Linked DNA regions of Struthio camelus. The protein of the gene in region 3 interacts with the protein of the main gene of each other region in a pairwise test. Links are inferred from orthologs where the notes say so. Each region holds a gene or a part of one and is shown on either strand. Other genes may lie near its edges. The genes, in order: L3MBTL3, RABAC1, PLEKHF2 and MBIP.

Region 1 (6,920 bases), on a different chromosome or scaffold from region 3:
CAGTGGTCCAGCAATACCAGTGTTAGCTTACCGGCAGAGACCAGATTCAGGTGAAAGCATCATAAGGCTTCTCAAGCACTAGTGCAGAATTACTGTTATCAAAGAACAGATTCCGTGTATGAGGAAAAAAACTTTAAGCTGATCTACTGGAAAGCAGGAACAGACGTATGCAGTGCCCCTGGAGAATCTAGCAGAGAAACGAGTAGCAACAGCTAAAATAAGAAGAAATAATATTAAAGGCATATCATCAGTAGGAAGTCTGGTTCGTTTACTGCTACACGTGTTAAGAATGGTGAAGAATTTTAAATTTAGGTCCTTTGTGACTACAATGCCAACCTATATATCTTATCTTTAAAATAACTATTTTGTAATAAACTTTGTGAGTAACAGGCAAAGTAGTGAAATTGACGTTGCTCAAACAGCTCTTGAGTGCACAGAATAGAAAAATGGCAAATCTGGTAAAATATTTTTTAAACTACAGTATGAATAATGAAATTTGAAAGGAAATGTGTGATCTGCAGATACTTCTTACGATAAAAATATATTATTAAATAGGTATAAAACAATGTGCATATTAAAATGTGGTGGATGGCCTCAAAGCATGTTACCAGTTTCTGCACTGTGGTTGTCTTCTTCAAGTAAAGAATCAGCTGCAAAAAGATTAAATGGAAGAGAGAGGCAAGTGTGCAGTATACTCAGCTCAAACCAGATGATTGTGGGAAGGAAAGCTGGACTCACCATGATAGCTTTACAGTGAATAGCAAGTAAGTCTTTTTCCTTGTACCGCCGTTCTGCACAACAGTTGGCTTAAGTTTTGCTTTGCCTTCAGTGTCATGATGAACCTAGCTTAATACAAAGTCTGTCTAAAACAGAAAAGGGAGCTTAGGTTGCGAAGGATAATTCTCCTTTGTGTGGCTTGGGGGTATAATGATTCAGCCCTGATATTTTTCACTTTATTCTGTGATAAAGGGAATAAAAATGAAAATGAGCATCCATCCGTCTACTGTCTAGAAGTTAGAGCACTCTATTTGCTGCTCTGATACACTGAATTGCCCCCATCTGATCCACTTCATTTTCCCTATGTGTTATAAATGTCCCACCTATCTGTAGATATCTGCAGATACTACACTAAGCAGTCTCCTTCTTGGACCTGACCAAAACAGCTATGAGCAACGTTAGGACAAAAAGCTGGGCTGGGGCCTACTCTTGTTCCTTTGTTTCTGAACATCTCTCAGCACTGGCATCTCCCAGCTCCATGGGTGTCTTTGAGGAACAGGGAACATCGCTAGGATGTCTGAGGACATCACCTCCCATATTTGATGCTCTCATTTCACACCTTGCACCGTTTGTTTAGACCACTTCTGGCTCTGTTTGTCCTATTTTTCTCTTTTCTAGCAAGAGTTGTTAGTTGGGGAAGGGAGCAGGCACAGGCTTGTTCTCTCCTGGAACGAATCTACTGGGCACTCCTGTCACGGTGGTTTCAGGAATCCTAAAAAATAAAATAAAAGTACACACGAATGCAAAAAGGAGTGCACATGCTTATTCACAGATGGATTCTGCTGATCCAGTAGTACTGTCTAAGGGCTTTACTTTTGAAATCTCCTCTCTTTGCTGTTGAGTGACCCCGTATTGAATTGGGCACGTTCTGGTGAGAAATTGTATGTACTACTACCTTGCACACGTCATAGATGGCATCTTAGATTTTCAAAACTTAGGTAGGTGTCAGGTAATTTTTTAAAGCCCTGACTGAAAGAAAAAATCCTTCTATTATTACTTTTTGACATACTTAGTACATAACCCTGTAATTATTTCAAAAAATACTTGTAGGTTTAGTTGGCATATTCTCTTCTATTTCTTAGCTTTAAGTCTTTAAATAGAGAATCTTCCACCAGATTAAATTATCTAATTTTTAATGCTGTTATTCTCGTTAAGTATCAGTTCTGTGAAGTATTCACTTATTGTTGAGCCAGTTGGTAAAAATGAATGGTTTTCTAAAGGATGCGTCTAATCTTCTTTCATAAGCTTGTTTATTTTAAGACATTTATTAAATATGTCTAAAACAAGGTTAATGTTGAAACATGAAAACGCAGCACACAGCTTTAAAACACTCCTCTATATATGTTACAGCTTATGGCTGGGAAGACTGAGATACAGTTATGTCCCTAATAGTGGATTTTGGATGAGGCTTTTGGAATATGAATGTTCCACGTTCTTATTTTGTGTCCTTACCTTCACATCAGATGGCATTCAGTGATAGGCATAGGTACAGTATTGTAGTAGTACTCCCCATATTAATTCAGTATTTTTACTACGTTCCTAGAGTTGTGTATGATAGCAAGAGGCGTTATTATAAAAGGAGTTCAGTTATACTAGTTCAGAGAACCACACCAGAGCTTTAAAGATGAAAGTGGAAATGAGTAGATAAGGCATTCCGTAGTTTTCTTTGTTCTGTGATTTAGATGTAGATACTGTAATGCTTTCATCCTTTTTTAATTCCTCATTGCTATAGTGATTTAATTGGTCTGCTTCTTCCTCCTCATTGTCCTTAGCAGTGGGATATAGACCTATCAACCTTGATCTTTCATCTGTTCAAACTCAGCAAAGCTGGAAACTGGTACTTTGTTAAATGTGGCAGCTTTGGGTAAATTCACTTCAATCTGTATTGCCCCATTACCTTTTCATCCCTACACAGAACAGTTTGGAAGGCTGCAAAGAGGACCAGTAGGTGAAAGTACAGATTGTGCCTTTAATATTGAGTTTAATTTTAGAAAAAAAACAAGAGTACCTTGTCAAACAACAGAATACACCATTGCTACTCATTATTACCCGATGAAAGCTTTCTTAGGTGCAATTAAGTTAAAATTTCTATGGTTTTCTTGAGAGAAATGTGCACGGTACGGTTCTATTATTAGTATTTTATTTTGACTTTCACAGTTTACATCCTGCGTAAGTAGTCTAGGCTGTAAGTTTCCCCCATCCCCCATCATTTTTTGGCAAGTGATTCTGTTACAAAATGTTTATATGATGAGAGAAGCTCTATCAGAAACTCCAGAATGTGATATAGCGGCTGTCTGCTGCTTCTCGCTCTGTGGGACAGCGACCACTGCAAGAAAGCGTTTCCCCACAGTCTTCAAAGTCTCTTCCCATTTTTTGGTCATTCTTTCTGCAGAGCAGAAGCCATTAGAACGTTTTCTGTAATAAATACACCACAGCATAGTTGAGTGCAGTGTTCTTTAAATGGGATGGTAATTTAAGATTACTTAGAAACTTTAGTTAATACAGAGTGAAGCTTTGTGTTTGCTTAGCCAGACTACTCATGAGGAACACATTACACCAGTGTGCTTAAACAGCATCTTTTATGTCCTTAAAATTTCATGGATTTCTGGGTAAATCCAATTTTTCAGCTAGTCCATAGCAGTTGAGGTAGGTCTTGTGTTTCTGAGAGGATGCCTACATCTCTGCCATGATGTTGCAGTTTAGTTCGGTGTAAGCCTGCTTAGGTTGGTATATTATAGTGCTGAAGACTGGATTCTTAGGACGGTCTAGAGCTCAAGTGTGCTACTTTCTTAAGTCAAATAGAGATTGTCCAGGTTGAATTTCAGGAGGTGCTATAAGCTGGAGTGATGCATTTTGCTTGGGAGGGATTTTAGACGGTGAGTTGTATGGGTTTGAGAGTTTTTCAATTTACCCTAAATTTATTTAGATTTATTGATATATTAAAAGTGAATTTTTGTACATTGGTGGTAGGGTTTTCAATATGTTCACACAGAGAAAAACTAAAATTAGAGATAGAAAAGAACTAAAATTAGAGATAGAAAAGACTCATTCAGTTTTGTTCTTCTTCAAATTTGTTTTGTGACGTCTATAAAGTTTTGTAAAAAAAAAAAAAAACTCCTGTAGGCACAGGTAGCTATTTTCTCCATCTCTGAACCCGACCTGTCATACAAAATGAAGAGGAATGCAGAAGCCTTCACCGTCAGCAGTGGTTACTGATTGAGGTCCTGCTTCTGTCATGTTGTTGACAAGGTATAGGGGCTGTATTGTAACAAAAGTACTAGTGGATTAAGGTGTTGCTCAGGGTGGTAAAAACTTTAGAATTCTGCTATAAATGAAGAAGAAATCATGCAGAAATATAAAGGAGTTCACACTGCAAACACAAAATGAGAGTAATGTCTATCTATAATGTTCAATTGATGGCTATAATTTTTCTACTGCAAAAATAGAAAGTTGAATATTTTTCACACAACAGTTAATAATTAAGTGTTTTCTCCTCAAACTTTAAGTCAGAAGCCTCTGGTAGATCTGAGTTTACTTCTGCTGGGGTTGCATCTTTTTCTATCATCTGCGAGTAATACAGTGAACGCATTTCACTTAATCTTTTTTGTGGAAATTCCAGATATTGAGAGAATATTAACAAATATTTGCAGAGAGTAGGTTTTGTGGGTAGAATTTTTAGAGATAAAAAATTAGATTTTAGAAACTGGGGTCAAACAGCTGGGGAAACTGCCTGCCTGTTTGAATTTCAAATACTGATACTTGCAGCCAAAGTTTGCAAGCGGTCTGCAGGCTGAGTATGAGGCTTGGAAAGTATTTGTTGAAAAAGTTCAAAAAGTGTAAATTTCAAAAGAAATAAGCTTTTGGTGAAATAAGCTTTTCAACTGTTAGGTGTAGCACAGCAGTCCTTAACAAGGAAAATAATTGAGTCAAACTTCATGTTGAATAAATACTAAATTAGGTGCCAGCCCACAAATTTAAAGATCTCTGGGTTTGTAAAAAGTAGAAAGGAAGAACTTAGCAATAGTCACAAATGGCTGCTAAAAACATTTACAGTTCAGCACAACTGATGTCGTATTTGTGATAGTGACAGGAGTTGTATAATTGTATTGCTTGTGCAAATGATTGGAGATAAATTCTTACAACAGAGAAGGAGGTCCAAGTCTACTATTTCTAATGGTAAACAAATATTTTCTGCTCTGCTTTCACTGCAGTGAAACAGAAGGATACAGTAAAATAAAGTCTTCCAAAACAGCTGTTTCTCTGGTGTGTATATGCTTGTCTATATGTAAATACATTTTAGAAATAAATAACGAATATTTGGTGAGCCTATATGGTGACAGACAAGGAGTATTTGTATGTTCTGAGTCAGACAATGAAAGTGAAGGACTTTCAAATTCAATTTGAAATTTTAATTTGGACTGGAATGAAGTATGTTACCAGATATTAAGGGAAACCAGTTATTTTAATCAGTTCTTACGATGTTTATTATAGGCATGTGTTTATGCCTTTCATTCCCTAGAATATGTTTTTCTTACATATTTCTAGGATGTGTTTGCCCAACGTCAATCTTTTTGCAGCTTGAAATTATTTATTTCTCTTCAGTTCAGCTCATTAATAAGTAGTGTATAAAGTAGATACTATTTTCTACGTTTTTCAAAGACTTGCTGTTGTTTTATTACATTAGTTTTTATTATCAGCATAGTTCTGTACATTGTAAGTGTGTTGAGGGATTTGATACTAGTCTATGCATTTCAAAGTGCATTTGAAGAAATGTCCAGTGATTTGAGCATTAAACTACTTTAATTTACAGGTAAAGCCTTTATATATATATATATATTTTTTTTTTTTTTCTTTTTAGTACATGCATCATGAATGAATCTGCCTCTAGTGGGAATGGACAAGAGTTTGATGTATTTAGTGCTATGGACTGGAAAGATGGGATAGGTACTTTGCCAGGAAGTGATCTAAAGGTAAGATACGTAACTTCTTAATAAGTGAAATAACAACTTTATATGCCAAAAGAATGTATTACAAGTTGGTGTGTAGGTATCTGCTTTTATGAATAAAACATGCAGCTCTGAGTTAAGAAACTGTAGCCTGTTAGCTTTTAGCTCTGGAGTTTCTTGATTCAGTTTCTGGTGCTGGCAAAGACAACAGTCATTCCCGTAGGAAGGCATAAACGAGCACTGCCTCACTATTAGGACAGAAGTAATCAAGTGCACAAAATCCAAGACGTCTCAGAAGTTAGTGTGTAAAATCAGTCCTCTTAAAGTATAATACTAACTAAAAATTTTTTACAGTCACTGACACTTAAGTCTCATGTTCATAGTACTTTTTTTTTTCTAAGAATAGTTTATTTTTCTGTACCTTTGTCATGTGGGTGTCTTAAAGCACCCACAGATATTAAAGTAATACATATATTGATGTTTTAAAATAAACTGTTTATTTATCTGATACTTTTTTACAGTGTCCTCAGAAGGTATTCAGCTGTTTTAAGTAAAAACGCAGCTTCGATATTGGAGACTTTCTTGCACTTATTTCTCGTTGGTTAAAGTCAATATTTTCGTATAATTCTATTTATATTAACACTGATAGACTCTTTTCATAGTTTAATTTTTAAATAAAATCTCACAAATTCTTTTAAAAAGAATTGTAGTTCTTAAGGAACTTTTATATACCTTAGTGCCTAATACAATTTATGTTGTTGAAGTGAAGAATCAAGAAATGTTTAAAATACAGGACAGATACATTGCAAGTGTCTTTTTTAGAGTCACAGAATCATAGAATAAAATCACAGAATAATTTTTTTTGGAAAGGACAGCAGGAGACCATCCAGTCTGGCCCTCACTTAGAACAGGGCCAATTTAGATCAAGTTGCTCAGAGCCAGGTCCTGTAAAGGTTTGGTTATCTCCAGCAATAGAGATTGCACAAACTCTCTGGGCAGCCTGTTCCAGAGTTTGACCAATCTCATAGTGAAATTCTTCTTTCTGTTGTTACTTAATTGGAATTTCCTCTTTTGCAACTTGAGTTGGTTGCCTCTTGTCCTTTTACATTGCACCTCCAAGAAGAACTGGCTCCATCCTCTTTATAACCTACCACTAGAGTAGTTAAAGGCAGCAGTAAGATCTCTCCTTATGTTCTT
Region 2 (7,244 bases), on a different chromosome or scaffold from region 3:
GCTCCTGGGGGTCCTGGGATGCTGGGGGGGGCTTTAGGGTGCTCCTGGGGGGCTTTGGGATGCTCTTTGGGGAGCCTTGAGGTGATTCTGGGGGGGCTTCGGGGTGCTTCTGGCTCAGAGCTGGGTATGGGGGTGTGCTTGGGGTGCTCCTGAGGGTCCCTGGGGTGCTCCTGGGGGGCTTTGGGGTAATGCTGGGGGGGCTTTGGGGTGCTTCTGGCTCAGAGCTGGGTATGGGGGGGGTGCTTGGGGTGCTCCTGGGGGTCTTTAGGGTGCTCCTGGGGGGCTTTGAGGTGCTTCTGGCTCAGAGATAGGTATGGGAGGATGCTTGGGATGCTCCTGAGGGTCCCTGGGGTGCTCCTGGGGGGCTTTGAGGTGCTTCTGGCTCAGAGATAGGTATGGGGGGATGCTTGGAATGCTCCTGGGGGTCCCTGGGGTGCTCCTGGGGGGCTTTGAGGTGCTCCTGGGGGGCCTTGAGGTGATGCTGAGGGGGCTTTGGGGTGCTTCTGGCTCAGAGCTGGGTATGGGGGGGCTTGGGGTGCTCCTAGGGGTCCTTAGGGTGCTCTTGGGGGGCTTTAGAGGTGCATCTGGCTCAGGGTCAGGGCTGGTTATGGGGGGGGGGGCCTTGGGGTGCTCCTGGCTCTGGGTTGAGGTTGGTTTCGGGCGGGCGGGCTGGGGCTGCCCCGTTGCCCCGTGTCCCTACTGACGGCCGCGGGTGGCCCCGAGCTCGGAGCCGGGCCCTGCTCGGGACAGAGCTGCCCTCGTGTGGGAGCGGGGCGCACTGCAGCGGGGCGGCCGGACGCCTGGGCCCACGCGGGCGGTGGGGCCTGTGGGGCGAAGCAGGCCCCCCCCCCCCCCCCGGACGCCTAGGTTCTCCCTCCGACGCCGGGGAGGGGGGCACGCCCCATAAGTGAGGTCACTGCAACCCCCCCACCCCCGGTCACAAATACCCCCAAATGTTCCCAAACCCCGAGCACCCCCACTCTGCCCCCCTGTCTGCCCCAATGCAGCCTGCTCTCTGCCCTATAGCCCCCCATCCCCTTCTGCTCTATAGGCCCCATATCCCTCCTCTGCCCCCAATGCCCCCCCTGCCCCGTAGCCCCCAGCCTTGTCTCTGTCCCCCATGCCCCACAGCTCCCATCCACTCTGCCCCATGGCCCTCTCTGCCCCATTGCCCTGAAATCCTCCCCTGCCCTATGCCCCCCCGCCCCATAGCTTTCAACCCCTCTGCCCCATAGCCCTCCCTGCCCCCCAGCCCTCTCTGCCCCATGCTCCCCTAGGCCCATAGCCCCTTCCCCTCATGTCCCCCTCTGCCCCCCATAGCTGTCTCTACCCCATAACCTCCACCCCTCCACCCCCATAACCCTGCTGCATGCCTGCCCTGCCCCATAGCTCCTAATGCCCCCCATAGCCCGTAATTCCCCCATGCCTCCCCACCCCATAGCTCCCAATGCCCCCCACAGCCCCCCTGCCTCATGCTTCCCATGCCCCATAGCCCTTAATGCCCCCCACAGCCCCCAATGCCCCCCACGCCTCCCCACCCCATAGCCCCCAATGTGTCTCATAGCCCCCTGCCTCATGCTTCCCATGCCCCATAGACCCTAATGCCCCCCACAGACCCCCTCCCCGCGCCTCCCCTGCCCCATGGCCCCCAGTGCCCCCCATTGTCCCCCCCGCCCCATAGCCCGGCGCAGCCCCGGCGCTGCGGGCGGCAGCCGATAAATCTTCATCAGGCGGCGGTGATTAACGGGGGGGCGGCGGGGAGCGGGACCTGCCCATTAGCGCTAATGGGAAGATGGAGAGGGGCTGTCGCCGCCGCCCCCGCGCCCCCCCCGCCGCCCCCGCGCCCCCCTCCCCGCCGCCGCCGCCGCCGCCACTCAGGGGCCGTTTCCGCCCGCTGCCGCCGGGGGGGAGGATGGACGGGGGGGGGCACCGGGGCAGAGCTAGGGGGCAGGAGCGGGGGGATCTGGGGGGCACCAGGGCAGAGCTGGGGGGGCAGGAGGGGGTGACTTGGGGGGAGCAGGAGCAGGGGGATATGGGGGGGGTCTCGAGGAAGAGCGGAGGGATCCGAGGGACAGGAGCAGGGGGCATCGGGGCAGAGCTGGGGGGCAGAAGTGGGGGGACATGGGGGGCAGGAGCGGGGGATAGGGGGGTCTCAAGGCAGAGCTGGGGGGCAGGAGCAGGGAGACCCAAGGGGCACTGGGGCAGAGCTGGGGGGCAGGAGTGGGGGGACATGGGGGGGTCTCAAGGCAGAGCTGGGGGGCAGGAGGGGGGTGACTTGGGGGGAGCAGGAGCAGGGGGATATGGGGGGGGTCTCGAGGCAGAGCGGAGGGATCCGAGGGACAGGAGCAGGGGGCATCGGGGCAGAGCTGGGGGGCAGAAGTGGGGGGACATGGGGGGCAGGAGCGGGGGATAGGGGGGTCTCAAGGCAGAGCTGGGGGGCAGGAGCAGGGGGACCCAAGGGGCACTGGGGCAGAGCTGGGGGACAGGAGTGGGGGGACATGGGGGGGTCTCAAGGCAGAGCTGGGGGGCAGGAGCAGGGGGACCCAAGGGGCACCAGGGCAGAGTTGGGGGGCAGAAGTGGGGTGACTTGGGGGGGCAGGAGCAGGGGGACCTGGGGGCCATCAGGGCAGAGCAGGGGGGCAGAGCTGGGGGGGCAGGACCAAGAGGGCTGAGGGACTCAGAGTGGGGGGCAGCCGGGGGGAATTTGGGGGGGAGGAACTGGGTGGCAAGACTGGGGGGGCTGGATGAGGGAGGAGAGACCTGGGGGGCTCAGAAGGGATGGGGGGTCTGGAGAGAGGGAGGGAGTCTTGGAGGGATGGAGGGAAGGATGAGTGGAGAGACAGGAGAGAGAGAGGTGTAGGCGGGTGGAGAGATGGAGAGGTGGAGGGATGGATGGAGAGATGGAAGGAGGGATGGAGGGGTTGAAGGAGGAAGAGGGAAGGGTGGATGGATGGAGAGACAGAGGGATGGATGGATGCAGGAGTGGATGGAGAGACGGAGGGATGGAGGGGTAGAGGGAGGGGTGGAGGGGCAGCCGGATGGATGGACGAGCGGATAGAGGGGTGGATGGAGGGAGGGGAGGATGGACATGCATGGACAGACAACCAGGGATAGCTGGGCAGAAGGTGGGGCCGGGCTGTGCCCAGGGTCCCACGGATGGACAGACAGTCCATCAGGTGCTGGGGGAGGACAGATGGACAAACAGGCACCGTGGGAGGACAGACTTGTCGCTGGAGGTCCTCAGTGGCTCTGGGGTGCTCCTGGGGACCCAAAGATCCTGTGGAAAGATCTCTTGAGGGGATCCCCAATGTCTCTTGAGGGTATCCTTGAGGTCTCCTATGGTCCTGGGGTTTCTCTGGGGTGTCCCCCATGCCTCTGGGGTGTCCCAGGGGTCACTTGTGGTCCTGAGGGTGGCTTTGAGCAGTCCCTGGGGTCCTCCATGGTCCTGGAGAGTCCCTGGGGGGGGTCCCTGGTGGGTCTAGGGTGTCCTTGAGGTCCTCAGTAGCCCCGGGGGGGGGTCTCCATGGGGGTTAGAGGGTCCCTGGTGCCTCAGGGGAGGTCCTGGGGTCCTCAGTGATCCTGGCAGGCACCTGGAGGTCCACGAGGTCCTCAGTGGTCCCAGGGGTCTCTGGGGTGTCCCTGATGGGTCCCCAATGGCCCTGGGAGTTCCTGGGGGGGTCCCCGATGATTCTGGGGTGTCCTTGAGTCCTCAAGGGACCTGCAGGAACCCTGGGGTGGCCCTAGAGGGTCCCTGAGGTCCCCAGTGGTGCTCGAGGGGCCTCTGGGGGAGGGTCCCAAGGGGTCTTGGTGGCTCTGGAGACTCCTTGGGGTCCCTCATGGTATGGGGGGGTAACCTTGAGGTGTCCCTGGGGTCCCCAAGTGTCCTGTGGGATCCATGGGGGGGGGTTCCCGGGGTCCTCAATGATCCTGGGGGTGTCTATGGGGAGGTCCTGGGAGGGATCCTGGTGGCTCTGGGGCATCCAGTTATCCTGGGGGGGTCCCCCATGGTCTCTGGGGACCCTCCACAACTGCCTGGATCGCGGGGGGATGGGGAGGCCACACCTCCCTCCCCTAAAACACCCCCATCCCCCAAACACCCCCGCCTTGCACCGTGCCCCCCCCCGCAACTGGGAGGAGGGGGAATAAACTACATCTCCCAGAGTGCCCCGCGCGGGGCGCCGCTCTCCCGGCATCCCTTGCGTCCCCCCCCCCCACGACGTCCGCCCGCGCCGCGGCGCCCCCCCGCGCTGCCACGCGGCACCGCGCTTCCGCCCCGCGCCGCGAGCAGGTGAGGGCGGGGGCGGGTCGCCATGGCGACGGCGAGCACTGAGGGGGGCGCCATGGCAACGGGGGAGCCCCGGTGGGGGGGGGGGGTCTGTCCCGGTTCCCGCCCCCCCAGTGATCCGGCCGCAGGCCCCATAACCCGCAACCCCCCCGCCAAAACCTCCCTGCAGCCCCATAGAGACAAGGCCTGAGCCCCCCCCCCCAAACAGCCCCATAGAGTCAAGGCCTGAGCCCCCCCCCCCAAACAGCCCTGCAGCCCCATAGAGACAAGGCCTGAGCGCCCCCCCCCAAACAGCCCCATAGAGTCAAGGCCTGAGCCCCCCCCCCCAAACAGCCCTGCAGCCCCATAGAGACAAGGCCTGAGCGCCCCCCCCCAAACAGCCCCATAGAGTCAAGGCCTGAGCCCCCCCCCCCAAACAGCCCTGCAACCCCATAGAGACAAGGCCTGAGCGCCCCCCCCCAACAGCCCCATAGAGTCAAGGCCTGAGCCCCCCCCCCAAACAGCCCTGCAGCCCCATAGAGACAAGGCCTGAGCCCCCCCCCCCCCAAACAGCTCTGCAGCCCCATAGAGACAAGGCCTGAGCGCCCCCCCCAAACAGCCCCATAGAGACAAGGCCTGAGTGCCCCCCCCCCAAAACAGCCCTGCAGCCCCATAGAGACAAGGCCTGAGCCCCCCCCCAAGCCCCTGCCCCAAATTAGCCCCCTCATGTCTGCAATGGGACATCCACCCCCCGACATGGGGGGGCTGCCACCCCCCCATAACCCCCCATTTCTTCCAGCCCCCCCCCCCGCCAGCACCATGGCGGGGAGCCCCCCCCAGGAGCATCTCTTCAACCCCACGACGGAGGGTGACCCCCTGGCCGGGCTGGGCACCAAGTGAGCATTGGGGTGGGGGGGGGCGGTGCTGGGGGGCACAGGGTGCCATGGGTCAGGGCCTCGGTGGGGCTGTGGCCGCCATGGGGCTGTGGGTGCCGTGGGGCAGGGGGTACGGTGGGCCGTGGCCCCATGGGGCGGAGGGTGCCGTGGGGCAGGGGGTGCCGTGGGGCAGAGGGTGCCGTGGGGCAGGGGGTGCCATGGGCTGTGCCCCCGTGGGGCGGAGGGTGCCGTGGGGCAGGGGGTGCCGTGGGCCGTGGCCCCGTGGGGCAGGGGGTGCCGTGGGCTGTGCCCCCGTGGGGCGGAGGGTGCCGTGGGGCAGGGGGTGCCATGGGGCAGAGGGTGCCGTGGGGCAGGGGGTGCCGTGGGCTGTGCCCCCATGGGGTGGAGGGTGCCATGGGGCAGGGGGTGCCGTGGGCCGTGGCCCCATGGGGCGGAGGGTGCCGTGGGGCAGGGGGTGCCGTGGCCCGTGGCCCGTGGGGTGGAGGGTGCTGTGGGGCAGGGGGTACGGTGCGCCGTGGCCCCATGGGGCGGAGGGTGCCGTGGGGCAGGGGGTGCCGTGGCCCGTGGCCCGTGGGGTGGAGGGTGCCGTGGGGCGGAGGGTGCCGTGGGGCAGGGGGTGCCGTGGGCCGTGGCCCTCTGGGGCAGGGGGTGTCGTGGGCTGTGCCCCCGTGGGGCGGAGGGTGCCGTGGGGCAGGGGGTGCCATGGGGCAGAGGGTGCCATGGGGCAGGGGGTGCCGTGGGCTGTGCCCCCGTGGGGCGGAGGGTGCCGTGGGGCAGGGGGTGCCGTGGGCCGTGGCCCCGTGGGGCAGGGGGTGCCGTGGGCTGTGCCCCCGTGGGGCGGAGGGTGCTGTGGGGCAGGGGGTGCCGTGGGCCGTGGCCCCGTGGGGCGGAGGATGCCGTGGGTCGGGGGGTGCCCCCGTGGGGCGGAGGGTGCCGTGGGGCGGGGGGTGCCCCCATGGGGCGGAGGGTGCCATGGGGCAGGGGGTGCCGTGGGCCGTGGCCCCGTGGGGCAGGGGGTGCCGTGGGCTGTGCCCCCGTGGGGCGGAGGGTGCTGTGGGGCAGGGGGTGCCGTGGGCCGTGGCCCCGTGGGGCGGAGGATGCCGTGGGGCGGGGGGTGCCCCCGTGGGGCGGAGGGTGCCGTGGGGCAGGGGGGGTGCCCCCGTGGGGCAGGGGCCGTGGGGCAGCGCGGCGTCCCGGCCGCAGGCTGGCGCTGCCGGCGGCGGCCCGGCGGTGGCTGGAGGGGCGGCGCGCGGGGCTGCGGCCGTGGGGCGCCTTCCTGGACCAGCGGCGCTTCGGGGCCCCGCGCACCTTCGGGGAGCTCTGCCAGCGCCTGGCCCACAACGGCGAGCGCTTCCAGAGCAACTACCTCTGCGTCTTCCTCGGCCTCATCCTCTACTGCCTGTGAGCCCGGGGCGGGCTGCTGTGGGGCAGGACGGGGGGGTCATGGGGTGGGATTGTGGGGCAGGACGCGGGGGTCATGGGTGGGATTGTGGGGCAGGATGGGGGGGTCATGGGGTGGGATTGTGGGGCAGGACAGCGGGGGTCATGGGGTGAGACTGTGGGGCAGGACAGGGGGTCATGGGGTGGGATTGTGGGGCAGGACAGCAGGGGTCATGGGTGGGATTGTGGGGCAGGACAGCAGGGGTCATGGGTGGGATTGTGGGGCAGGATGGGGGGGTCATGGGGTGGGATTGTGGGGCAGGACAGCAGGGGTCATGGGATGGGATTGTGGGGCAGGACAGCAGGGGTCATGGGTGGGATTGTGGGGCAGGACAGCGGGGGTCATGGGGTGGGATTGTGGGGCAGGATGGGGGGGGTCATGGGGTGGGATTGTGGGGCAGGATGGGGGGGTTCATGGGGGTGGGATTGTGGGGCTGCTGTGGGGCAGGATATAGGGTCATGGGGTGGGATTGTGGGGCTGCTGTGGGGCAGGATGGGGAGTTAAGGCTGGAGGCTGCTATGGGGCAGGATTGGGGGGTTCGGAACAAGGGACTGTGGGGCTGCTTTGGGGCAGGATGAGGGGTCAGTGCTGAGGGTATTGGGGGCAGTTGTGGGGCAGGGGGGACAGGATATGGGGGTTGGGG
Region 3 (6,857 bases):
TCACTGCTCCGTCCAGTAGGCTCGAGAAACGTAGTGTCCTACATAGGCCTCTTGAGAGTCGCTCAGCAAGCCCAGGACGTGCCAGCATAACTGGCTTTTCATAGGCTATGGCTGCGGTCCTTTGCGGGCATCTTGGGGAAGCAGAGAGGTCCTGCCCTGACTACCTTCTTAGCTCGTGGCACCCTCAAACCCACAGGAGAGCTTCCCGTCAACCTCCATCTCCTGGGGATGTAAAGAGGCAGCTCTGTGTGGCTCAGCTTTTCCCGCTGGCGTTGTTCCATTGTACAGCAAAGGATTCACAATTCATTTGGAAAGAGGTGAGAGGGACCATGAGGCTACAGCCCTCACGTTGTATTTGTCCCCTCCAAGAGGAGAGCACTAAGCTCTGGTGTCTGCTTCTGAGACTGGGAATTAGGTGTTTATGTGCCTTTGAGATCTGGATCTAGGCCTCAGTCTGTTGGAGAGCTTAAATGCAAACTGTTCCTGGAGGAATGGAAGTCTGAAACCGTTTTCCTGCCAATCCACAGTCAGATGCTATTATCATTGCTTAAAGAAACCCGAAGGGTTCAAATATAGCATAACTTCTGTTTGCCTGCTTCTAATGCCAGGAGATGTAAAAGCACCCTAAAGGGCTTCTAATGCCAGGAGATGTAAAAGCACCCTAAAGGTTTGTCCGTCCATATTTTCTTAATTGAGTTATTGCTCATTGCTGTTGAAAGTGAACACAAAAAGGTGTTCCTCCTCTTAAGCCATAGCTCAGAATAGGACAGTTTAAGGATGGAAATCCAAATTTCAGCTTATGGTTTGTTCAGAAATATATACATGGAACTTGATTCCTTCAGTGTTTTCTAGAACACTTTACAAAGCCGGGTTCACGACAAATTAACAGGATCTGCGTTCTTACAGATCCTATGGTCTACACTTTTAGTAACATAAATATGCTCTGAACTGCAAAAATGCTATGCCTTTCTAACCCTTGGAAACCAAAAATTGCAAAACTTAGGACCTACTGATGTTTTTTAAAAAATATCTTTGATTAATTTCTAATAAAGGATGGAAGGGCATCTTTTCCGTTCAAGAGTGGAAGTTTAGAATTGGGCATTACAGATTATTTAGTGAGAGCTGAAGTTAAAAATAACACAAATGTTTGCAGGGACAGTAAAAGACACTGCTCTGTAGTAAACAAAGAGGTATTTCTGGTTTGGCTTCTGAGTCCTTTCTTCTCAGGGTGTCAGCTGGCAGTTTGGCTGTGTAGAAAACTGAGGACAAGAATGCTGTTTGCAAGAGAATCGAGTTTCTGCAACTAAAATGGGATAAGTGCCAAATGAATGAAAGGTTGTTCTATGTCTGTATTAATTTTTGTTATAAACATAATTTTTGGGGAAAGGCCTTGCCCCTTCTGGCTACCTCTTTGCCAAATTCTTTCATTACCTTTGATGTACAATATGTGTGGCTTCCTCATTATGACGAATTCTCATCAAACTAAAACTCATAACATAGATGACAGAATTTTTCAGCTTTCTGTTGGCTGATTGGAAATTGCCTTCAAGTTCTAAAGACATTTTGAATACAAAGATGGTGAATAAAACTAGTCAGAAATTCATACTGTGTTAAAACACAGCGATCCCTTTCTGTTTACAATGTCAGAGAAGCAATCTATCAGAAAACAAGTTTGGCGTTTTTTCTTCATTTCATTTTTTTTCTTATGTTGAGAATAAAACTCTAACCCCACCTGGTCCCTGCTGAAGTTAACGCACACATTGACCTGAACCTACTCAGAGAATCAAGGTTTTCAAAAATCATTAACAGTAAATTTCCATACTTCAAATTTGGCTCTAGTTAGCTAGGTTAGTTGGCTTCAGTGGACTTGCCAAGAAGTAATTGATTAAAGGTTAGCAAACAGGCATAATAATGTTTCAGAAGAATATGAACTATAGGTGTGCTGGCTCCTACAGAATGCATAGAAATAGAAAGCAGCAAAAACTTAGTAAAGGTTACTTATATATGCTATAAACATAATAATATGCTTATATATTATACTACATAATATCAGTATAATAATTTATGTTTTAATGAATTTTTACAAAATCAAATGACACATGATGTTATGGAGGTGAAAAAAAGGAATTGGATAAATTTGGTGACTATCAAATAGAGTTTTGATTGCAACCTCTAGCACAGTAAGCCCACCTGTCCAAAAAAAAAAAAAAAAAAGACTATTGGAAGCTCAGTTCATGAAATAAATATTTAATTGTTCTATTTTTGTATTTTCTTCCTAAGCCTACACCAGTGGTCACTCTTGGGGACAGGGCACTAAGTTAAACGGACTTCAGACACGACCCATTTAGGTTAAGTGTGAAGAACAGAGTGGTCTGTTTTGAGCATTGTCAACTTTTTATCTGTTTATATTTAGTTCTAGTTTTTGACTTCAGCAAGCTGGAAGAGAACTCAAAAAGGAGTGAGGAAATGGTAGGAGCTGAAAAGAGCAGTCTCATAATTTGCAGGAAAGTTAGAGAAAAGAAAATTGTCATGGACAGACTACACAGCCCTCTACCAGAGTTTGAAAAGCAACCGCAATACGATTTGTTTGGAGAGAGAAGGGGAAAAAAAAGCATTAATAAAAAAGAAGTTTTTCACGCACACTTGGTTTCCTAGCTGTTACTTCCTTTCTACCCAGACTCCTAGCGGCTCTTCTGGGTCTCTTGTCTCAGTGGGAGATTTGCTCTCCTACAGCAGGGGGCCTTTCTCCTTGACACGGTTTGTTGATTCTTCATCAGGAATCCATGGAAGGGGGTCAGGTTTGGTACTCGCATTAGCGATTTGGGTTCCTTACCGCTGCGTGCTTGGGAATTCACTCTCTGAGCTGGGACTGCATCTGAATGACCCCTGTGGCGCGAATGCGTGTCAGTGGCCCTTCTCATCTGTCCCGGCCATTCGTCACACCTCCCTGCAGAAGCAGTTGTTCCCGAAGCTACAACCGTGACAACCCAAACCGAGCACAGCTCTTCGGTTCCCGTGATTTGTTAAATCCTTTAGGGCAGCGCTCAGCTTGGGCTGGGCCTTGCGGGTTTGGGAGGAGAAGCAGCCGTAGGAGCGGGGGCACTGCTGTGTGCTGGGCATGGGCAGCTCCAGCGCAGCGGGCTCTCCCGGTGCCGGGCGGGAGGACACACGCGCGGCCCCCTCGGCGCTGCGCTGCGCCCCGCCGCCCTCCCCCAGAGCGCGCCAGGCCGGGGGCTCCCCACGGCTCCCCACGGCCCCCCTTTTCCGCGCGACCATGCCAGCTGCGATATGAATTCCTCCTGACGTCACGTTTAAAAAAACGCCACTGCCAAAAATGCCACAAGCTCACTTTTAACTCTGCACCTTCATCAAGGCAAACAACCCTGCCTTACGAATCTGAATCAAACTCAGCAACTTTAGTGGGCTCATTATTACCCCTGGAAAGCCACACTGCCTAAGCGGATTTGTCCCCCCCCCCCCCAGAAAAGCCAGCCGCTGTACTGCCCAGTAAATCAGCTGAACGGGAGATGTGGAAAACGAAACTCTGCTGTATTTCACGTTAAGCGAAACTTTTTCTTAAAACAGCTTCGGGCCGTTTGCCACAGGGCAGTCCCGCCCGCTGCAGCGGGGCGAGAGCAGGCAGCGCCGCGTTAACGCCGCGACGACCGCGCTCCGCTGTCACTTCCCTGCGAAGCTCGCAGCAACCCCGAGCCAAAGCCGGGAAGCAGGAGGCGGCGCGGACAGGCCGGAGCCGGGGCCGAGGCGGCGGCGCGGAGCGGACGGAGGCGCCACCCCGACCCTTCCCGCTGGGCCTCGCCCCTCCCAAGATGGCGGCGGCCCCGCCCCGCGCGGGCGGTGCCCGACCCCCCCCCTCCGCGGCGGCGGCGGTGGCGGTGACGGGTGTGTGACCGCGGCTGCGGTGGGCAGAGGGCGGGAGGCGGCAGCGACTGGAGCGGAGGGAGCTGCGAGCGCCGGGCGGCGCGGGGTGAGGAGCGCGGCGGCCGGGGCCGGGCGGGGAGCGAGAGGAAAACTTTCCTGGCGGAGCCCCTTCGCTGCCGGCCGGGGCTCCGGCCGCCCTTGCGCGGCCATGTTGGGAGCCGGGGGCTGCCTGGCGGGGGAAGGAGCGGCCCCGGCGGCGGCGGCGGCGGGCTCCGCCGAGCCCCGTGGGCGGCCTCGGCCCGGGCTGGCGGCGCTGGGGTGCCGGCCGGGCGCGGCGGGGAGGGCGCGGGCAGCCCGCGGCGGAGCGGGGCGGCGGCGGCGCGCCGGGCTGGCTGTGGGGCAGGGCAGCGGCGGCCGGCGCTTGTTTTTTTCCCCCCGAGGTGCCGACAGAGTTGCCGAAGCGAGTTCGTCTTTACAAGGGGCGCGGGGGGGGGGAGAAGCGCAGCCCGAGCCGCGGCCGCCCCGAGGCGTTACATAAGTGCGCGGGGCTCCTGGAGCCGTGACGGGCGGCGGGGCCGGGGCGCCCGGCGGGAGCGGCTGTGTGCGGGCGGTGCGCGGAGCCGCCTGCGCGAGCTGCAGCGGCCCTCGCCGAGCGCGGTAGCGAGGGCGGCGGCGGCGGCGGCGGCGCGGGCGTCCTGGTAACTTTCAGCTACTCGTCGTTTTCCAGGCGAGCAGAGCGGCTGCCCTGCCGAAACCTTCTGGATGCTGTGGCTTTAAAAAAACAAAACAGACAAACAGGTGAAAGCGTGGAGGGCGCATCTGTCAGCGGGAAACTTGCTACTTCGCTGTTAAATTTGCCTCTCTTGGAGAGGAACGCGACTGGTCTGCTTAAAATACCTGGGGCGCCTAAGTTGTCCGAGAGCGGTTCGAGCTAAGGCATCTTGGCCGCAGGTTTTCCCTTTTGCCTGCGCTGCGTGCAGAAAACCCCGGGTTTATAAGTAGCTAGTGAATGAACTGTTCTTCATGGTGGGGGGGGGAACCCCAAAGAAACAAGCAAAAAAACCCAGTGAATTGGTCTACGGAGAGTGCATCCTGGCGTCTGATTTGTCCTGATTAACAAAAAATGGCTTTGGCTTAAGTTTTGACGTTAAGCACCAGTGCAATAGTTTGCGATACCCTAAAACTACCTGTTATATCGCTTAACCACATATTAAGACTTCCTTTGCTTCTGTTTCGATCGCGTGGCTGAGAGCGGTGCCGGAGGCAGCATTAACCTCTGACTCAGTCTGTGCCGCGTGCCGGGTGATTACTCTGGGGGTTAATGCTTTTTGGACAAACGCTATGTTTCAGGCTCTCATGTGCCTATCGCTTTGCCTACTCTATTAACCTTGTCTAAACCTAAACCGACTCTGAGATCAAACCCACAAAACTGGAATCAAATTTGGAACTGAGATTACTAATTTCTCTTACTTTCTCTAAGTAAAGGAAAAACTTAAATACGCAGCTTTCACATTCTAAGAATAGTAGATTTTGAATTATTTTCAGGGATGGTCACCTGAAAGAAGGGAAGTATTTAAAGACTGCAGTGTAATTACTCAGTGTTGAGCTCCTACAGATGCTTGTTTTATGTGAGCACATCAGTGTGAGAAAGGAATCAAGTTTTTAGCAATGAATGCAAATTTTTTCGCTTTTGAACTATGTGGTCTAAATACTATTGACTAATCAGGTGAGAATCCTTATGTAGTTAAAGGTCATGCATATCAGCTCAACTTACTTAATAATACTTTCCAGGGTGTTTCAGGGCAGTGTAGCTTATGTTCGAAATGGCATGCTAGCTAAGTGTCCAAAGTGCAGTGAAAGTGAAGCCTTGTAAGCATTACTCCCAAATTCTTCCTTCTAAATGTAAATAGACCATGTGGCGTTTGGAGTGATTAAGAGGTTTGTTCTGTGTAGAAAGCTACACAGAGGAATTCCCTTAAATGCTAGATGAAAACTAGTGAGTAGAAATTTGGGACTGGGGAAGCTGGATCACTTTCCTGCTTCCTATCTTTTACAATTAAGCAGAGCGATATCTTTTCGTCTGGAAGCAAGTTTTCATTAAAACCAGGAAGGAAATCGTTCTTTAGCAAGGGCTACGTTCTGTTTTCCTTAAATTATGGACAGAGATTGTAAGTTAGTATTGCGTACTTCTCTGGACTAACAGAAGATCTACCGTTAACCTCCTGAAGCCCATTAGTTTACGCGTTTACAGTAGAACGGTTATTGTGTTCAGATGGCGTTGCGACTTCTTGGTTTCGCCGTTGTGCTTATGGATGCAGGAAGGCTTCTTCTTGTCTGGTCAGAGCAGTAAAAGCAGCCTGGAAGGGCAGTTTTTAATGAGCCGGGATATCGCAGAGCGCGGCAGGCACATCTAGTTTACCCTGCCAGGAAGAGCCGAGGGAGTGCAATAAGGCAGGGTGTTGCCTGCAGGGTAGGATATGAACGGTTTTTTGTTACACTCGGAGCGTTTGTGGTGCTTTATCTTCCCCAAAGGGGGCTAGACATGTTAAAATGAAAGCTTAGGGTCGAGATATGGCGTGTCGATGAGGCAGAGTTGTTTTTACGCCTGAAGATATCATTTTCTGAAAAATTAGTGGTAACTAAAATGTTAGAAGTATTGGCCAAGCAAACAAACGGTATGCAAGTTTTTATTTTTAAAGGCCATTTGTTAGTGGGTGATGTCAAATAAGGAACTCCAGTGTTAACTGCGGATAAGTTTGTTAGATGTTGGTAGGTAAGAAAGTTAGTTAACTTAATGCTCTCTCTTTTTTTTTGTATTAAGAAGTTAAACTTTATTCTGTACTACTTTAAGTTCGCAAGGCATGCTTTTGACTTATTCCAAGCTCTGTTAATATTCAAGATTATTTTTCCATTTAACTCATGTGGATTTTTTTTTTTACGGTTGTTGATATCTGTGTATATATGTTTTGCTACTTTCA
Region 4 (7,649 bases), on a different chromosome or scaffold from region 3:
AAACATTAGAAACACACTATAAAACAACAACTGATTGAATCAATCTCTTTGTCTGGCTAGACATATATTTTAGACCATTTTCACACAAGCTATTTTCCTGTTCAGTACTTAATCTACACAGGATGTAGAAAAAGCAATGTTTTGAACACCTTACTAATTCAAGAGCGTATTAAGAATTTAGTAAGAACTAAGAATTAAACTTTACCTTAAGAATTAAATAACTGTGCATATGTGATCATCTGAAGGGCATTATCTGAAGCAAGTATTTCTTCCCAAAGTTTCTAGAGTAACATGTGCTGTATACTAAATTATAGTCCACAGAGATGGTAAAAAAGGTGTAGATGTAAGTCATCTTTAACGGAACAAAACAGGAGGTCTAATGCAATTCCTTAATGGTCCTCTTTTTTCAAAAAGCAATAGCCAACATGTGCCTTCATATTATAAGTTGTTGCTCCTATCAAGATGGTTCAATGTACGGAATCAGTTGAGCTTCTGGCTTAGAATAATTTAAAGACAAGTGATTAGGAATGTTACCAAATGCTATTCTAAATTCAGACAGTATTTTTACAAATAAGCAGAAAATAAAGCTATCCTGCATCTGAACATGCTTCTAGTACAATATAATTAGTTTTCTCACTGTGTCATGCTCTACCTATAAGAACTGTGACAAGTAGGCTTAGAAATTCTGCGATTTGGTAACTTCAATGTTTCTGTGTATTTATAGGCCAATAGTCTATTCTGCGGCAATTTACATGAACACAAGTCATTCTAGCCCTTTGTAACAGTTTTATGAAAGACAATGACTGTCACTCAGTGCTTAAAGAACTTTCCAGAGTTAAGTCACATTGCTTTTAAAAGTTATAATTCCCAGCTGCCCTCCTAGGCCCTCTGCCACAAGTTTGCTCTAATAAACAAATTCCTGTGCCAGAAATGTTCCTGTTTACAGTCCAACATATACGCCTAAGTCCAATTTAAGCTAGTATGATGTATGACAAACTGGATAGCCAGTGACCTGGCCCATTTTCACTTCACTCATCTCTATAATCGGGAAAGCAGGAATCAGTAGCTTCAGTCAAAGGTACAGGATGGATGACTAGAGTCAGTTAAATTGGTAAAAAACCACAAGTAAATCTATCGGAACTCAAGTGCTAGCAGACACAGAGTGTAACTGGACAACTGCAAATGATTGTGGTTGAGTAATTAAAAGGGTTAGTGCTTCCTCAGCTAAGCTGGAGCAACGAGCCCTAACTTACTTGTAGATTGTTTCAGTGCACAGTGAAATAAGCTTAAATTGTCATAGAACAAGGATACGCCAAATGCCAACGAGGGCAATTTTACTCTGCACCTTAACTACTGTAACTCAGCTCAGGGGATGTAGCCACTCAAATCTGAATCTTGCAATTGTCTGTCAACACCTAAATATTGTTTTATCACTAAGCTTTCCACAGTGACACACCAGACCTAGCACAGCTAAAGCAAACTAGGGAACAGGTAAGCGACTGAGAAAGAGACAGAAACTACAGGAAGAGACAGAAACTAGTGTGCTTAACATTGATTTAAAAACAGTTAATTGAACGTGTGATGAGCACCATAGATAACATCTTTATCTTTATTCCTCCCCATGCTTTTCATGAGAGTTTGACCTTTCAGTCACGTTAGCATTATAAAAACAATAACATAGAAGAATGACAATAATCCATCAGGGTAGAACGATGGTCATTAATTCTTCATTGATTAGATTTAGAATTCTTCACCATGAAGAATTATGGGATATTTCATCCATGTATCCCATACACGGATAGTTTTCCTGTCACAGTAGTTCTACGTATCTAATATTCAGCTGTGTATGATCGTTGTCTAACACAGCATTCACGTTCAAAAGCCAAGGCTGTGTTTATTCCCTTTACAGTTAAGAAAGCCGAGATCCTTATTAGTCAGAGCCCCAGTTTTCAAGCCCTTAATTTTGGATGCCTTTTGCTTGAGAACTAAGACGTTTCCTCAGCCACTTTGAGGTGAGGGGCAGATACAGCATACGCTTCTATTGCGAAAAGAGGTAAGATGCTCTAAAAAAAATAATTTCATATCAGTCAACAATTATTACCAAACTACCTCTATACCTGATTAGACTACATTTCTTACTATGTTGGTAAGCTAAAAACATACTAAGTTACCTTCTGTCCCTCACGTTTAAGCTACTGCTCATCAGTTGACCCCAAACCACCAAACTGTTGTCTAGTTTTAAAAGCATGAGTGTTTCTACTGCCTTGACAGAACTGCGTATGTGCCAGCACAATTGAGGAGGACTTAATTTGTAAACTAAAGCCCTCTCTTAACAAGGGCCTCTCACCACTAACGTAGCATCTATTCAATAACAATAATTTATCACCATCACTAAAGCTGGTGTTTCAACTGAACCACTAGAGTGCAAGGCCGCTTTTACAGTCCCAGCCCACAGACAGGCACTTCTTTTAATTTAATCTACAGTAACTTTTTTTTAGCAGCCTTTGAGCTCGCAGTCAGCGATTTTCAAGACAGAGCTGGCCGGCGGCAGGCCAGCCGTTCTGGCTCACGGCAGAAGCCATCCTTCCGATTAAAAAGCCCCGAGATGTGCTTCAGTGCCACGAGGCAATGAACAGCCCTGCGCGGCTCAGCCCCCGGCCGCGCACCACGTTGTTTACGGCAGGCCCCTCTCCTCTCCGGGCACGCACTTTAAAACTAACCGCGGGGGGAGCCACCTGCCCGGGGCCCCAATGCGGGGCGAGCAGGGCGCAGGCGGGGCCCGCGGCCGGCCCTGCCCCTGCCCCCGCCCCGCACTCACCTGCCCCGCCAGCGCGGCCAGGGAGCGCAGGGCGCTGCTCGCCACCTCCGAGGCTACCGGCTCGGCGCCGGGCTGGGCCGGGCTGGGCGCCGCCGCCACTGCCGCTGCCACTGCCGCTGCCTCCTCCTCCGCCATGACACGCGGCCAGGCCGTCGCTCCGCGATGACGAGCCCTCGGGCCGCCTGCCCGCCGGGCCCGCCCCCGCGGCCTGATGGGCAGGCGCCGCAGCCAATGGCGAGCGGCGCTGCCGGGCCGGCCGTGCGAGCGGGGAGCGCGGCGGCCCTGCGGGCGGGGCGGCGGCGGCGGCGGCGGGGCGTTGCCGCCGCCATGGCGGGCTGAGCGCGGTGGAGGCGGTTGTGGGAGCAGCGCCAGGGGGACGGGGCTCCCCGGGGGAGTCCTGAGCGCTGCCTCCCCGCGCTTCTGGGGGCTCCCGTGATAAAGTGTGTAGGAACTGGGTGGGCAGGGCCGCCTCTGGGCACTTACAGTGCGGCTCGGGCCCGGGAGAGTCAGGCCCAGGCCCTGGCTTGGCCCAGGCCAGGCGCTGACCATCCTCCTCTGGTGCCCCCCGGGCTGGAGTGTATGTGGGCTCTCGGGGTGTGGGGGGGGCGCGGAGCACCTTCTTTTGTGAAATCTGAGCTCTCCGGTATGGCAAGCAGTTCTGTTTCCCATGGCTGAGGGAACGTCATAGCTTTTACTCCCTTTGCTGACCTCCCTCGGACTCTGAAGCTTTTTGCAGCTCAGGCCCATTGCGGAAGACCACCTTGCTGCTTGCAAAGTCACAGTCTGGACCCGGTGACATAGGCTCACCTCTCTGCTGCTGCTTTGGCATTTTTGGTATAACCAGGCTTTGAACCCTGGACTGCAGTTGCTCCTGTGGTGTTTCCCTTCCCTGTGCCCCAGAAGGTGGGGATGACCTTACCCCCTCACCCTTTTGTTTGCCTTCTTGCCCAGTTTAAGGGACTCCATAGAGCTGTGAGCATTGGCCAAAGGCAGGCACATTTTTAGGAGTACCCTAACTGAGTGCTCTTTCATGGAGGGAGGTATACCATGTGTTTATTGAGAGTATATCAGATTAGTGTGCTTGTTTCAGCTGTGCTTTGCTGGATATACCTTCACTTTGGTACGCTTGTCTGTAGTTCCCTTCAAAGCCTTGACCCTTCTGGCTACAGCAAGGTTGTTTCTTCATCAGACCACAAGGAGCAAGTTTATCAGAGTACTCTGACTATGGGGCTTGCATGATTGTATCTCTTCTAAGACAGTCTGCTTGAGTTCTTTCCTAGAACAGTAGGTGCTGACAAAGGTTTTCTGTCTGGTATTTCCTTTGATACCCTACGTTTGATCCTCTAACTTCATTTCTCTTCCTATTTCCCTTCTCTCAGTAGTTTTCCTTTAGAATTAGTTGTTTCTCTTGGTCCTTTTCATCCTTTCTCTTCTCTTGAGGAAGGTCCTTCTAGGCTTATGGGCCAGTTCTGCTCCTTCGGTATAGGGAAGATCACATAGCTGTATACCATACGGCAGTCCTGACATTTTGCTTTCTTCCCTATCTTATGTCATGGCAGTTGCAGTAACTGCAAAATCCTGAGCAGAGACCATTCGTAAGCAATGCTGGAACGTTAAGGGCAAGAGGACATCTAAACAGACAAGATGGGCAGAGGATGCCCGCAGATCAAAAATATCAGAATGGGCGGATAGTTTGTGAAGTTGGCAAACAACAAAGTAATTCTACATTTTACTGCTATGTTGAGATATTGTAGGTATAAATTATGCTAAAGGCATGGTTGAAGAGGGAAGACTAAAACAGTAAACAGAAAGGATACTGAGAGAGAAGAGGTGAGGGAAAGAGAGAGGAAGGAAAGGGATGATGGTAGGAATGAAGGTAAGAGAACAACAACAAGAAGGATGTTGAGGAAGTTGCTAACTAGTCAAAGGAAACTGAGGACTGTAGAAAGTAGTCAGATGATATTACTCCTTTTGGGAATTCCTTGCTTGCTTCTACAGTTAGTTCACCTAGCTTACATGTCTGGCCCCTTACTATCTTTCTGCAATAGACAGAAACCAGATGTGTGTAGTTTCCCTTTCATATGGTGTTAAGCCTTCTGAGATGTTGAGAAAGTGCTGTGATCCATGGTTTTGTTTCATTTTGTGTCCCATTGTCCTCACCACCCTTTCTTTTTTCCAGGTGGTATTGCCATTCCAACTGGTACTTGTTTTCTAGCTGCTATTGTTAAACTAAACCTTTGGGAGGCTTTTGCATGATCATAAGCAAGTTCTGGAGCTTCAGGATTTGTCTTCACTGCTAAGACACCTGTTATTTACCACAGACTGACTGCTATGCACTTACTATCCCTGGTAAAAACACAATGGAAATCGTGCATTTAGAGCTTTACTGTTAGGTAAGTCCCAAGTGATCAGCTCAGCATGTAGTATAGTGCTGAAGCTGATATTTCTACTGGGAAAACATCATGCATGTACCTGAAGGCTAGTCTTCAGAGCTAAAATGACAGTTTCTTTACATCAGGGTACCTATAACATGAGGATATATTTTCTGTTCCACTGGGAAATGGTGTGTGTTGCCATATATACAAACGGTAAAGCAGACTGATATTCTTGAATAAAAATGTTAGCATGCAGATTAATTTATTTAAATTATATTTTGGTAGATATTTTAAAGGCATTCCTCTCTCAAGTATGAAGACTAAACTTAGGTTAATTTAGTGAAAATACTTCCCAGTAAACCTAGTGTTCTGTGTCTCCATGCAGCAACCAACTTAAATATTTGAAAAGACTTGAATACAGAAAGTCCTAGTCTGGAAGAGGAAAATTATTTCCAAAGAGGACTTCAGTGCTAAAGTTTTATAAATATATTACATGGAGAGCTACAATATCTTACCTAAAACAAGCTAGATTGCACTTTGCTGGATTTGGATGATAAGAAACACTCTTTGGGTTTTAAAATGCTTACTGCCAAATGCTTTCCTGATTTTTGAAGCTCAGAAATGTAGAGTTAATCTATATTTTCACTTATTTCCTGCAAAGATACTGCTCTTACGAAAAGACAACATCTTAAACACATATATAGGCCATGGCAATGAATGGCAAAAAAGATGGCAGAATATTATTTTGCACTTCTGTCCAACAACGCTAATTCCAGTTTATGGTCAAGGAGCAGCTGCTTGCGCCTGCCCTGCCTGTGACTCCTGCAGTGCTATCTCTGGACAGACAGCTGAACCAACTTTGCAGAATGTTGTCATTCTCACTTGATCCAAATCATGAAGCTTTCAAGACTGAAGGAAAATACAATCTCCCTTCCCCCGCCAAACACTGTAACACCCTGAATAAACATGGAAGTAATTTGCTGGCCAGAATAGAATGTGAAGCACTGATATAATACCCTGGTATTCATTGTTGCTCAGTGTCAGAGGATGCATTTTGCTCTTCCTGAATCTCAAATGACCTCCAAGGATAGATGAAGGCCAGACATCTGAAACAAGCTTTAAATTAAAGTGAAAAATGTTCAGCTACCTGATAAATTCCACTTCAGACAAATGTTGCTTTTCCTGGAATCATGGAGCAGGTGTGTGTCTAATTTTGCAGTTGTTAGGTGTAGCTTTACTAAGTGGGAGAGAGCTAAGATCTTTCCTTTGCTTGCAAGCATGTTATCTTTATCTCTACAAGAGCTCTGTGGGTACAAAAACAATTTCACATGTTGCTGAAAAATAAAGAGATAAGTACTGTCAGGAAGATACTGGTGGTGACACTGCCATATGTGTTACGTATGGAAATACAAGGGACAATGGACGTGAGAATGTGGAGGATATCAAGAGAAGGTGGAGGTGATCTTCTGTCACTTATTCAGTGATCATTGCTAGAAAAGTAGGCAAGAGACCATGAGGTCTGCAGGATGGTTAATGTCAGAGAGCTGATGGCAAATATTTCCTTTTAGAGAAAACTTAATAATTCCTATTGATATAGAAGGCACTGTTACCTCAGAGGGTCTTGATCCATTTTGCAGCTGCTGAATGAAGACATTTGGTATCAGCTGAAATTTGACAGATTAAATTATGTAACACCCTGTGCAAATATGAATGAGAACAGAGAAATAATCCAAAGGGATTTAAGAGATTAGAAACATCAGAACATGTGGGAAAATGAGAACAAATTAGGGGAAACACACACTGATACAGCTAAGACAAAGTCTGTTAAGCATTCCTATTTAATGGACGAGAGCGATCAGAATAGAAGAGTTCCAAAAGATGGTTATATGCTCACTGCACATAGTGCTCGGGGAAGCTGAGTACACTTGCAACCGCCTTGGCAGTAAAACTGGCCACAGTAAATCCAGGCCTTACATAAAGGCAGAGGAAATTACATGCCACGCTCGGTAAAGCTGGTGAAACAATAAAATATTGGAAGCTCTTGTTACTGGCAAGATACTGGTAATTTGGAGGGAATTTGTAGAAAATTGGCTTAGAAAATGGAATATTACATTACAAAATTAGAAAATGGATTGCTGGAGGTAGATACACTGGTTTAGAAAGAAGGATTGGAAGATTTAAATATATGCAACTTGGCAATAATGGCAGTTCTCACATTTTTAATGATGTGACTACTAAGGAAGGGAAGAATCTGGAATGGCTTTCAACATTTAGGGGTAGAATTATCATGATATGATTATATCTTCTGCACCTTTCATCCCTGAAATGGATCTCTAGGGCACATAAAAGGCTCCTCCCTTCCCCCAAAAGGGGAGGTTTCAAAAAACCTTGAAAAAGATAAACAGCAAAACACTTAAGTTCCTCCGCTGCACTCAAATCTAATTGTTTGAGATTTT

The links.
Region 1: the proteins of PLEKHF2 (region 3) and L3MBTL3 interact in binary tests that used the Homo sapiens proteins (3 or more experiments, as listed by UniProt). The two-hybrid records come from large-scale screens. The link is inferred for Struthio camelus from reciprocal best matches to the Homo sapiens genes PLEKHF2 and L3MBTL3.
Region 2: the proteins of PLEKHF2 (region 3) and RABAC1 interact in binary tests that used the Homo sapiens proteins (3 or more experiments, as listed by UniProt). The two-hybrid records come from large-scale screens. The link is inferred for Struthio camelus from reciprocal best matches to the Homo sapiens genes PLEKHF2 and RABAC1.
Region 4: the proteins of PLEKHF2 (region 3) and MBIP interact in binary tests that used the Homo sapiens proteins (3 or more experiments, as listed by UniProt). The two-hybrid records come from large-scale screens. The link is inferred for Struthio camelus from reciprocal best matches to the Homo sapiens genes PLEKHF2 and MBIP.

Annotation. Positions count from the first base shown.
Region 1 is NC_090944.1:70,677,002-70,683,921, forward strand, and holds the start of L3MBTL3 (lethal(3)malignant brain tumor-like protein 3), read left to right. Parts: upstream 1-3,901; 5' UTR 3,902-4,012; coding exon 4,013-4,026; intron 4,027-5,635; coding exon 5,636-5,747; intron 5,748-6,920. UniProt on the Homo sapiens protein: Is a negative regulator of Notch target genes expression, required for RBPJ-mediated transcriptional repression. It recruits KDM1A to Notch-responsive elements and promotes KDM1A-mediated H3K4me demethylation.
Region 2 is NC_090980.1:287,234-294,477, forward strand, and holds the start of RABAC1 (prenylated Rab acceptor protein 1), read left to right. Parts: upstream 1-4,228; 5' UTR 4,229-4,288; intron 4,289-5,063; 5' UTR 5,064-5,083; coding exon 5,084-5,160; intron 5,161-6,363; coding exon 6,364-6,561; intron 6,562-7,244. UniProt on the Homo sapiens protein: General Rab protein regulator required for vesicle formation from the Golgi complex. May control vesicle docking and fusion by mediating the action of Rab GTPases to the SNARE complexes.
Region 3 is NC_090943.1:148,700,394-148,707,250, reverse strand, and holds the start of PLEKHF2 (pleckstrin homology domain-containing family F member 2), read left to right. Parts: upstream 1-3,856; 5' UTR 3,857-3,900; exon of another isoform or gene 3,901-3,985; intron 3,986-6,857. UniProt on the Homo sapiens protein: May play a role in early endosome fusion upstream of RAB5, hence regulating receptor trafficking and fluid-phase transport. Enhances cellular sensitivity to TNF-induced apoptosis.
Region 4 is NC_090946.1:55,850,617-55,858,265, forward strand, and holds the start of MBIP (MAP3K12-binding inhibitory protein 1), read right to left. Parts: upstream 3,001-7,649; 5' UTR 2,954-3,000; coding exon 2,819-2,953; intron 493-2,818; exon of another isoform or gene 230-492; coding exon of another isoform or gene 206-229; intron 1-205. UniProt on the Homo sapiens protein: Inhibits the MAP3K12 activity to induce the activation of the JNK/SAPK pathway. Component of the ATAC complex, a complex with histone acetyltransferase activity on histones H3 and H4.